Nothobranchius furzeri: one gene and its partners. The protein of the gene in region 1 purifies or fractionates together with the protein of each later gene. This does not show direct contact. Links are inferred from orthologs where the notes say so. Each region holds a gene or a part of one and is shown on either strand. Other genes may lie near its edges.

Evidence for each region. The genes of interacting proteins can lie anywhere in the genome.
Region 2: the proteins of pnn (region 1) and clk2a purify together in Homo sapiens (affinity purification with mass spectrometry; 3 studies listed by BioGRID and IntAct, counting the BioPlex papers as one, with this or other methods). This does not show direct contact. The link is inferred for Nothobranchius furzeri from reciprocal best matches to the Homo sapiens genes PNN and CLK2.
Region 3: the proteins of pnn (region 1) and ncbp3 purify together in Homo sapiens (co-immunoprecipitation; 3 studies listed by BioGRID and IntAct, counting the BioPlex papers as one, with this or other methods). This does not show direct contact. The link is inferred for Nothobranchius furzeri from reciprocal best matches to the Homo sapiens genes PNN and NCBP3.

Annotation. Positions count from the first base shown.
Region 1 is NC_091758.1:40,470,144-40,474,316, forward strand, and holds the start of pnn (pinin), read left to right. Parts: upstream 1-1,373; 5' UTR 1,374-1,430; coding exon 1,431-1,543; intron 1,544-1,911; coding exon 1,912-1,992; intron 1,993-2,662; coding exon 2,663-2,734; intron 2,735-3,104; coding exon 3,105-3,180; intron 3,181-3,296; coding exon 3,297-3,391; intron 3,392-3,519; coding exon 3,520-3,595; intron 3,596-3,706; coding exon 3,707-3,862; intron 3,863-4,173. UniProt on the Homo sapiens protein: Transcriptional activator binding to the E-box 1 core sequence of the E-cadherin promoter gene; the core-binding sequence is 5'CAGGTG-3'. Capable of reversing CTBP1-mediated transcription repression.
Region 2 is NC_091759.1:6,934,917-6,938,272, reverse strand, and holds the end of clk2a (dual specificity protein kinase CLK2), read right to left. Parts: intron 3,254-3,356; coding exon 3,137-3,253; intron 3,026-3,136; coding exon 2,859-3,025; intron 2,650-2,858; coding exon 2,555-2,649; intron 1,514-2,554; coding exon 1,384-1,513; intron 1,265-1,383; coding exon 1,182-1,264; intron 1,103-1,181; coding exon 1,023-1,102; intron 945-1,022; coding exon 854-944; intron 777-853; coding exon 588-776; 3' UTR 501-587; downstream 1-500. UniProt on the Homo sapiens protein: Dual specificity kinase acting on both serine/threonine and tyrosine-containing substrates. Phosphorylates serine- and arginine-rich (SR) proteins of the spliceosomal complex.
Region 3 is NC_091750.1:26,022,312-26,025,811, forward strand, and holds part of ncbp3 (nuclear cap-binding protein subunit 3), read right to left. Parts: intron 323-3,500; coding exon 13-322; intron 1-12. UniProt on the Homo sapiens protein: Associates with NCBP1/CBP80 to form an alternative cap-binding complex (CBC) which plays a key role in mRNA export. NCBP3 serves as adapter protein linking the capped RNAs (m7GpppG-capped RNA) to NCBP1/CBP80.

The sequences.
Region 1 (4,173 bases):
GAAAAATGTTTTAACAGTTTCATTATTTACCATCAAAATTTGACTCTGGTAGCCCTGTCATGCCACTCCTTATATCTCATTTTGTTAAAAAGAACGACAACGTGTTTTAACTGGAGGAACACATTCCTTCGTAGAAAAAACCTGCACTAGGGGCGAATGGAGACCCATCCAAAATGGTGGTCCGCTACCACGCAGCTCAATTTTTTTCTTCAAACTTTATTGAGACATATCAATGGCACAAACAATCCGTGTCGCCTCTCCGTATTTCTCTTCAAAACACCGAAAGTCACCAAAAATCACCCTTACCCTACCATAATAATAATAATTACCCTACCATTGTGCGGCAATGTCCACTTAAGTCTGGCATCTTTCATGGCTCGGTACTGGGTTGAACTCCCGCCCTTAACATTAACAAGATGGTGGCGCTGTTGACGTAAATGTAGAAGCGAAAAGCGGCATCTAGCTTTAGCATTTCTTAATGGTTATTAACATAAAATGCTTCTCTTTACAAAAAATAATTCCACATTTAGATAATAAAACGTTTCAATCGCTGCTTAACTAACAACAAACACATCAGTGATAGCTACTTACCTTGGCTAGCATCAACATTATAGCTCACATCCTACAGAACCCAGCGTTAGCATAGCAGTTAGTGCCGTGGCTAACAATATCTGTGATCTTTTAAACATTAGACAATTACAATGGTCTATATCAGAGTAACGTTAGTATTAGATGTTTCAAAAAGAGCCCAACAATTTCTACTATCGCAGAATTTGCGTCTCCGTGTATGTTACAGCCGAACTGCTATGCACACAGATGTGGGTGAAAGCTAACTGGAGCGTCTCGCTTGCTACCGGGAGAGATAATGTTACGTCCTTGTTTTAAATTAGGCTATATCACTAACAAAATCCAGGGTGACTGTAAAATATGTGTAATTCCGCATAAATGTACTTACCGTTCTCCACCAACACAGTGCTTCATATCCTGAACATGTGCTGTTGAAAATGTCCGCCTGAGAAAAAGTGAGGAACTGTGGGAGGTTTACACGTCATCAAGTTTTATTTTACATCGACACAACTTAAAATTATATTGTGTTTTGATTAACTGATCATTTTAAATTCAGACTAATCATAATTATATATTGAGTAAAAAGGCTAAATTTGTGTGTTACCTGAACTCAATATAATACAATTTCTAATTAAGAAGTCTAACAGTGTTTATGAACTTGATTTTTCATTTCACAACAACATATATATTTAAGCAATGACTAAAGGTCCCATTAATTACTTTTTAAAAATACCTCATAAAGTCGTTTCTCGCATATCCGTCCAGCAGGTGGCGGAGATCCACAATTGAGCTGGTTTGACAGCTGACTGTACAGATAAAAGAAGAAGAAGAGAAACACGTGATTCACGCTAGCTAGCATCAAAATGGCGGTGGCGGTGCGGAGCTTACAAGATCAGCTCGAAAAAGCCAAAGAAAGCTTGAAAAGCGTGGATGATAATATTCGCAAACTGACTGGACGAGACCCAAATGAGTCAAGGTAAAAACTAAAATAAAAAACTATGTTTGGACAACGATGTGTAATCGTGCTTGCTAACCCGCTAGCATTTAAGCTACGTGTGCTAAAGTAGCATGATGTCGCCTTAGAGCAGAGAAATCCAATCGGAGTTGTTTTATTTGTAAAACTGATTTTATTTTTTCTGTGTAAATTAAGCTAATCTGGTGTTTGGTGTGATTAGTTGAATGCAGAAAATAAGCAAAGTTTAGGCCCAAACTCAATGTTGTCTGGGTGTCACCTTTATTATTATCGGGGTTTCTGGCGACGAATAAACTACACATTTGACTGACTTTAGTTTCAAGCGCAGTTGTAGTGCTGATTTGTTGTTTTTTTTAATTTTCCGTTTACAGACCGGGTCAGATCCGCCGGCTCAGCGGCCCCATGGCAGCAGGCCTGGGAGGAGGTAGAGGCAGAGGACTCAACCTGCTCAGGTAAAACTTCCCACTCCAGTCAAAAACGCTGATGGTGCCTCCTTCAACGATGCAGCTGATTCAAACTTGACTTCCTTTGTTGGAGCTTATGTAATAAGTTAACACCTTTGTGTTATAAACACCAAACAGGAAGTTGATGAAGTTGGTTATAAACAAGACAAAAACCACATAGAAAACGGCTATAAAACTACACGGATTAATGTTACACTGAAACGGGAGCATAAAGATTTATTTGGCAGACCCATCTATTCAAAGTATTTTAGGATGCAGTAAATTAACCCAACATGCACGCTTTTGGTCTGTGGGAGGAAACCTTTGCACCAGGCCATCACATCACACATGCATGAGAACATGCTAATTCTGTGCAAAAAGGCAGCAGCCAGGTTTTTAACCTGCAACCTTCTTGCTGGTAGTCAGCTGTGCTTCCAACTGCTCCATTAAATAAAGGCATTATTTTGTTTCTCATGTGACTGCATAAGTTTTAAACCTTTCATTGGGAATTGCATACAAGTCTATTATTTCCCGAAGAGTACCAGGTGTGTCTTTAAGGAAATAAAACCAAAAACAGACTGGGTGTATGTGAACTCGCCTCATGACCGAATCTGATTGTCCTGTTTGGCTTTAAGCCCTATTTTTTTTTTTTTTATCCCTATGTTGTGTTCCTTCACAGGCGTAGTCTCTCAGACATGGGGAGCGGAGGCCCTCCTGCCAAGCAGAGGGACATTCAAGGAGCCCTGTTGAGGTGAGATCTTTAAAATTTTTTTTAACTTTAAATAAATAAATAAATTCACCAGTTTGTGTGGAAAGTTCCTGCAAGATTGCCACATTTGGATCAGAGTGACCACGGTTTGTTTTTTGTATTTTACTACACATCTGTTTTACTGTGTTTTCTTTATGCTATGTTCAGCACCTTGGGTCTGCTTGATTGGGGGTAGGAAAGGGCTTTATAAATAAACTTGAAAGTCATCTGTTGCATGATTTTTTTTTTTAATGTAGCACAAGCATCACCTGCTGTTGTTGAAACCCTTTGACTTTTGGAGGCGTGCTGCTGATTTTGAAGCAGTCGGATGCTTTTTAAGTTCATTCAGATTGTTTTATTTTTGTGTTTGCAGGCTGGCAGGAGATCAGAGGGCCAGGAGAGACGCGCGTCACGACAGCGACGCCGAGGATGATGACGATGTCAAAAAAGTAGGGCTGGGTGTCTTATTCCTCTATTTATATGTGCAGAACTCCATTAATTAGTTTCATTTATTTATGAAAGCATAATTTGTTTGCCTTTTTCACAATTGTACGTCGTCTTTTAGCCGGCGTTGCAGTCGTCAGTTGTAGCTACCTCCAAGGAGCGAACACGCCGAGATCTCATCCAGGATCAGACTATGGATGAAAAGGGCAAACAGAGGTAGGCCAACACCGTTCTTCAGCTCTAGATTTGCACCCAGGCCTTTTAAACCCTTTTTATAGAATATTAATCTTTTAAGTAGATAACCATGTAAGGAAAATTTAGAGAAATTGAAACATCCTTCTCAGGAATCGGCGTATGTTTGGCCTGCTGATGGGAACGCTGCAGAAATTCAAGCAGGAATCAAACGAGTCTTCAGATAAGGTGAGGGTGCTCCTGAGGTGGCCGAGGTCAGCCTGGATCATGTTGTTTTGGAGGGTTGTTGGTTTTTTTCTTCTTCCTGCTTATCGCTGACATCATCTGTTCACGGTGCAGCTGAAGAGACGCTCCGAGATCGAGCAGAAGCTCGAGGTTCAAGCTGAGGCTGAGAAAAAGAAGGTGGAGAACGAAAAGAGAGAACTGTTTGAAGAGAGGAGAGCCAAGCAGACTGAGCTGAGACTGCTGGAACAGAAAGTGGAATTGGCTCAGCTGGTGAGAAAATATTTTGCGTGCGTTTCTCAGGGTTTTTCCTGCGTTCAAATTTGCGTGGCGGCCGCCTCCAGCTAATTTGGTGCCGCCCCAGCCTGATTTCACTCTGCCCCCAGCTATATGGATGTTATTTTAACTGCAGTTGCACCACTACAGGGGTGCTGTATCCGCAGCGGTGCACCGAAAAGCACTAAAACCGCTGCTGACAAAGATCAAAAATTGTTTTTCTCGCTAGTTGGTACAGATCTGTGGTTGGTGCTATTCACGTCCTGATTCCCCCCCAGGCTCTTCCATATCAGAGCAGGGCTGTACAG
Region 2 (3,356 bases), on another chromosome or scaffold:
CGGTTCACCATGGAGGGAAAATTCCTTACGGACATAGAGACATAAATAAAAATAAATGGTGATATGTCTATTCTGAAGACACTTGCAGCTTCGGAGAAAAGATGCAAGACTGATTGTTGACGAGAGAATATGTTTAGAACTAAAACTACCCCGGAGAGAAGTTCATTTACAGCTCCGTCTGATTTTTACCCTTTTGTTGGGACTTCAGATCTGGAAGATTTCAGCTCCACGTGGGAGGGGAGGTGGACTTAGTGACTTTAGAAGTGTTCCTTTTCTTTAGGGAGATGGAGAGAGAAGGAGTTCACGAGTCAAAAGGAAGACAGGAGCTGCATGGAGGGCTACTTTGGGTAAAGCGACCTTCCATCCAAGCGTTTTTTTCTTTCACGCTGTGACTCGTTACGTTTATTCTGGTCTTTCTCATGTGACTGTAGAGGCGGGTCTCGGGGGAGCAGGGCTCGGAGACCTCCATGCTTTTAGAAAGAGTTGAAATAAAAAACACCTACAAAGTCCGAGTTTATTTGACAGTTCAGCTGCTTCACATGGAAAGGACTCGATCTCCGCGGGGTTCAGTCTTTCGTGTTTATGGGTCACCGGCTGATGTCTCGATTGCCCTCCCAGGTCTTGCTGCCGCCTCCCTCACCGTGACCCATGTTCTCAAAAAAAGGGTGCTTGAGGGAGTCGGCCAGCGCTAATCTCTTGGTGGGTTCGTACTCCAACATGCCCTCGATTAGATCAAAAAACTGATGGTGATCCTCTGCCTCTGACAGCAGGTACCGCTGATGGAAAACAACAAAAAAGGTCAGTTAAGTATAAACACAGAGCTTCAAATGCTAGTTTATTTCCTCCCACTTACTCGTAACGGTTTACAGTTTTCTCTGACATATTTCCCCGACGACGAGGTCTCGTCCCAATCCAGACGGCCACGATGGAAATACTTCTGCTTCCTGAGTGTTTAAAGTGACCAAAGTAAGAACTAAATCTTTTCTATGAAGTTTAAAACGTTCATGTTTGTTCCTTCTTGCCTGGTCTTACGGATCATCCTAGAGGGCACTGGACCCAGGATTCTCTCCATCATGGCCAGATGTTCCCTGTTGTCATGAGTCTAAACAAACAAAAACGATACGATAAAACATCAGTGGATATTTTGATCCGTTTTAAACGTTTCAGTCAGAGTTGTTTACCTGAAACAACGTGAAGCCTAAGTAGTACTCAAACAGGATACAGCCAATACTCCAGACGTCACACGGGTGACTCCAGCCCAGTTCTAAAGAACACGTTTGTTAATGTTAGAGCTTAAAAACTGCTTGTTTGGCTTCATTTCTAAGTGACTTCTTTGTTTTTTAAAGTAATCAGAAAACTCAACTAGGCTCAAAGTCGGCTCACCTAGTATGACCTCCGGGGCGCGGTAATGCCGCGTGGACACGATGGTGCTGTGATGCTCGTGGTCAAAAGTGGCACTTCCAAAGTCCACGACTCGAACTGCTGTGCTTTTTACCGTCCGCTCCTCCCGTTTCTGCAAGTTTGGGAACCAATGAACTACATTACAGAACCAATAAAGCTGCAAATTACTTCCTTCTGACTGGTTTCATGATAAATATGATTACATCATGTAATCAGCAGACAAGTCACCTCTAAAAGGAAAACATATATACACACTCAAGTTTAGACCACACGTCGATTTAGATTACAAACAAAGCATAAACCAAAGATTCTGTCAACGTGGCTTCATAAGGTGAAAGAGAAACCCTTTCAGTTCCCTCTTGAGGTCGAACGTGGATACAACAGGGAGCAAAAAATAAATACACTACCAGTAGATAGGAGCCTCCTATTGGATAATCTTTGCATTATTGAACCAATGAATTGATGCAAGTCTGCTTTAGAAGGGTCGGATCACCAAGCAGAAAAAGCATGTAAGGAAAAAACAGAAACGACTACAAATGGGTGAAGAAACATCCACTGAATCATTAAAACCAAGAAGAGCTGCAGGAAACCATACGTTTAAAAAAAACTGAATAATCGTGATCATCTTAAAACCAATGGAAGAAAAATAACAGATGCCACGTGTTCCATGTGCACAGTGCAACGGGAACAGCCGTGAGAAAACCTCCGAGATGTGAGCATCGAGGCTGGCGTCTGGTAGATGGTCCGGTGGTCTGATGAATGAAGTAATGAATCCATCATGCCTACAAGCCTGTGGGGGCAGTCTATGATCTGGGGTTGCTGCAGTAGGTCAGGTCTAGGTTCAGCAGCGTTATGACCCCCGACGATGAGGTCAGCTGACTACCAGGTGGATGGATTAATGGATGTTTCCTTCCCTCGTGACGCAGGGATATTTTAAGACATTGGGAGGGGTCCACGGGGAATCTTTGCTGGAGAAGGCTTCGCACAGTTGTCAGATTTCCCCATCAAACAAGATCTTGGTGAAAAACGAATGCGAAACTGAATGGAAATGGAAGGACGCTCCAGGAGCTTACCGAAACAACGCCAGAGTCAAAGCTAAAGGTGTATCATGTTCACGCGGGGACAAAGACTTGGTTTGGGACACGTCTCTTACCTTCTCTACATTGTAGGTCATTGTGAAGTCCGAGTTGACAAACAGGATATTTTCTGGCTTCAGGTCTGTGTGTGTCAGCTTATTGTCATGAAGAACTACAGAAAAAAATCATCAAAGAGCTCATTTAAGGTCACATTTTAAACTAATTCAACTTCATGCTGCAAATACAAAACATCTGATAATAACTCATGTCCTAACAGTAGACAGAGTAAGAATGCAGCCAGATTTACCCCTAACACAATAAGCTCTGCTTCTCATTGGATCTTTTTATTTGTGAGGGTCTTCTGAGGTAAACGTAGCTTACATTTCACAGCTAGGCAGATCTGGTAGGCCATGTGCCTGACCTGACCGATCGAGTAGGGAAGATAGTTGTTCTCCTTCAGAAAGTCAAAGGTGCTGAGAGCCAGCAGCTCAAAGGAGATACACATGTGGCCGTGGTAGTCGAACCAGTCGTACATCTGAACGCACAAGCTGCAACACAAAAAGATGTAACTGTGTAGTATTTGTATGACAGAGTACTGGTGTGACCAGGTTAAGGGAATGCTAAAAAATGCTTCCCATCACAGAACAGTCTGAACTCACAACTTGTTATCCGGATCCTTCTCATTTATCTTCTCCAGTACGTTGATCTCCAGTCGAGCTGCTTCCTTGTATTTCTCAACATTCTTGATAATTTTCAAAGCAACATGAGCTCCTCCCCTATAAACATAAACACGGAAAAATCTCAACGAGTGCAGCTGGATGTGAGGAATGGTAAAAGCACCACTTTTACACCCTAAAAAAACTTTTAAAAAATATAAAT
Region 3 (3,500 bases), on another chromosome or scaffold:
AGCGTCTCTGACCGGATGGTCTTCAGCTGAGTCTCCAGCTCGTCAGCGTACATGGTCATCTTCTTGGTCTTCTTGGGTGATGGTGTGGAGATCATCTTCAGCTCCAGGTCGTAGTCCATCTCATCCGACTCCGACCATGGAGACGGGGAGCGCTCTGCTCTACTGCAAAGCCCTGCCCCCACCGTCCTTGAGTCTCCGCCCCTTTCCTTGTACTCCACTACCCTGTCATCCGAGTCCATGTCCTCGTCTTGGTCCTCCTGCTCTTCTTCCTCCTCCTCCTCCTCCTCTTTGATGGGCTCCTCGGGCAGGTTGACCAGGTCAGCTGAGGGACAGGAAGCAGAGGATTGTGGGTAAGAGGATGAGATAATTAACAGCTGACTGGTGTGCGACGTGATCAAATCAGATGGACAGAAAGCAGTTTCCCTCCTGATAAATAAGAATAATATCCTTTATTTCCTGTAGGTGGTGCGGCTAAACCTGGGTGGTGTGGGGTTGGGGAGGTTAGCTTGGCGCTGCACTGGCAAAATCATCACTGTGGGTCGAACCGCGGTCCGACCAAACGGAGGCCGCCCTCTACGGGGAGCCTGGGCTGCTAACTGGGGACCTTCTCAGTGACCTAGTGGTATCCGCCCTGGGACTTGGAGATCGGGGTTCAAATCCCAGTCGGGTCATACCAAAGACCAACACTGGGACCCAACGCCTCCCTGCTTCACGCTTGGCTTTAAAGGCTTGGATTGGGGGGGTTAAGCCACCAAACAGCCACCGCTCCCCACGGGGATGGGTCAGATGTGGAGATGTAACGTCACCAGAAAGGAAACTGAAATGTAGCCGCTGTCAGTAACTAACACATTTAAAACATTAAAACTGACTAAACGGTTGAAAAAATACAAAAATATCTCCTATTTCTTATCCTTAGAGGTTATTGCTCAGCCTTCTGACAGTCACGCTCACACAGACGAGTTTATTGATGCTCCTCGTTTTTATTTCTGCTGTGAGCCTTAAAATCTCGCCTCACTCCGTCCAGAACTCGTGTTAATGCATTTATACAAGCCGAAGTGTTCATAACTCCATCTCTCTCATGGAGTGAACGTGTGGCGGACATGTTTGTTTACATTTTTGCTGCTGTGTGCCTGAACAGTGGGACAGATAAGTGATGAAGCAAGTTATGCTTACGAACTGATAATAAATATGTTGCTGGTTCCTGTACAATACTGAGAAAACAAATCCTCTTCAGGACGTTCCATTTACATATGAGCCATTTTTAGTAATCCTCAAACTTGTTCATGTCCCTCTTTTTTTTTACAGAACAGAGAAAATTCTGACAGTCACAGAAATAATTACAAAACTCTAAATATGACAAATACAATTTGTTAAATTATAATTAAGCTAAAATAATTAGGAAGCCTTACTGTCATTGTACAACGGTACCATAAAACTCTGTTGGCATCTGAAAGTGTATGATTGCACGGGTTTAGGTGCATTCAGAGTGGTGAATACTTGGGCAAATAAACTAATCTTGAGCCTTGAAAAAACCTTTGCTTTTGGTTGAAAAGAATAATAAGAAAAAAAAACAAATAAACTGTCCAAGATGAGTCAGAACACCTGTCAACAGGTGCGTCTGAGCCACAGGAATCATCTAGCTGCAGAGGCTGTTCAACAGCTTTAGTTTCTGGGTCCATCATGCTTGATTTTAAATATTTCTGTTGAACCACAGTTTAAAAGTGATGTCATGAATTTCACTACGTTTGGATTCATTAGAACTTTTGTTATTTGTACATATTTCAGTGACGGCCGTTCTTTTGTCTTTAATGGGAGGGTATGGGATAACTTGAGAATGAATAAAATTATGAAGCTACCGTATTTTCCAAATTATGAGTCGCACTTTTTTCATAGTCTGGCTGGTCCTGCTGCTTATATACCAAATAATATACACCACGCTGCTGCGGGCCGGCTCCGGACCTGGGGGCCTCATTTATCAAGCTTGCTTACGCACAAAATGAGGACGGAAAACTGCGTGAGCAACTTTCCACGCAAACGTTGGGATTTATGAAAGAAAACTTAGCGAAAAAATGTGCGCAACTTTAAGTTGACTAAGGACCTGGCTTACACACATGTTGGACATGGAGAGCACCTGCAGTGCTGCTGCTGAGAAGGACAAAGTTATGAAATCCTGCAGCATTATCACTTGTACTGCTTCGTTTTCACACAGAACAAGACCCCCCACACGCGCACACACACACACACGCACGCGCGCGCGCGCGCACACACACACGCGCGCGCGCGCACACACGCACGCGCACACACACACACACACACACACACACACACACACACACACACACACACACACCCTGAAGCGGAGAATACGGAATGCAGAATATCAGCAGGGGGACAGATTGAGACAGAATGTCATGCGTCTGTGACAGTGTGTGTCCTGTCACTGTGACCTGATTGATCATGCGCCCCGGCTACTTGGACAAGGGAGATCTCTGTTTGGCTGACTGGTTAGCATGTGTGACTTTCACCTTGGAGTCTAGGGATCGAATCCCTATTGGACCATGTTTTTTATATCCGCCACAGATCTCTCTGAAGAATTCACAACATTGACGGCTTCAGCAACGCTGTGCCACTCCGTGGATTTTCATTATTTGTTTTGCAAAAGCACTTCCTTTCATTTCTCCACCTCACCCACAGGTATCTCAATTTCTGCTTCTGTGAAATTGTGCTTCCTTGATCTGCCTTGATCTACGGTTGCCTTTGGCGGAGCGCTGCAACAAGGCACTTTGCATTGACTATATGGCAGTAAGTGGGTGTGGTGAGGGCGGGATGTGACTAAAAAGCAGCTGAGAACCTTTCTAGATAGTTTCTGATTTATGAAGCGGAGATTGCGTGCAGCTGTGCGTGCTCCATGTTTGATAGATCACAAACCTACTTGGCGTAAGTACTTTTTTTTTTGCTGAGGTTTTAGTAAGGATTCTACGTAATGTTTGATAAATGAGACCCCAGGAATGAGCTCCCCCGTCCCGCTGGGAGGGTTTGAAACACCGCCATCCTCTGCTGGAGATTGTGGTATGCTGCTGCACCCTGATTGTTTATTCTGTTATAGTTAACGGGACTTGTCTTGCAATGTGAAATGCTTGGTCACAGATTTTGTAAGAAAAATAATAAAATTTCACCCCAAAAATGCGACTTATATATGTTTTTTTCCTTCATTATACATTTTATGGCTGATTCGATTTATACTCCGAAAATACGGTAATAATCCTAAATATATTGACTACATTACATGATTTTTTTCCCACGTGTTCGTCATCCAGAGCACATCAACTTCTCTGTTAGTTCCTTTTATGATAATTATCCCAGCCCATTCGCTTTCTTTGTAGCACAACTTTATTGACACTTTATAAATAAGAATGATGCACAAACCGGAATCATCACAGCTGCTAAAAAAAACAAATGCCCTTTTTTTTTTTACCTTTTAAGTAAAATTAGGATCCGGG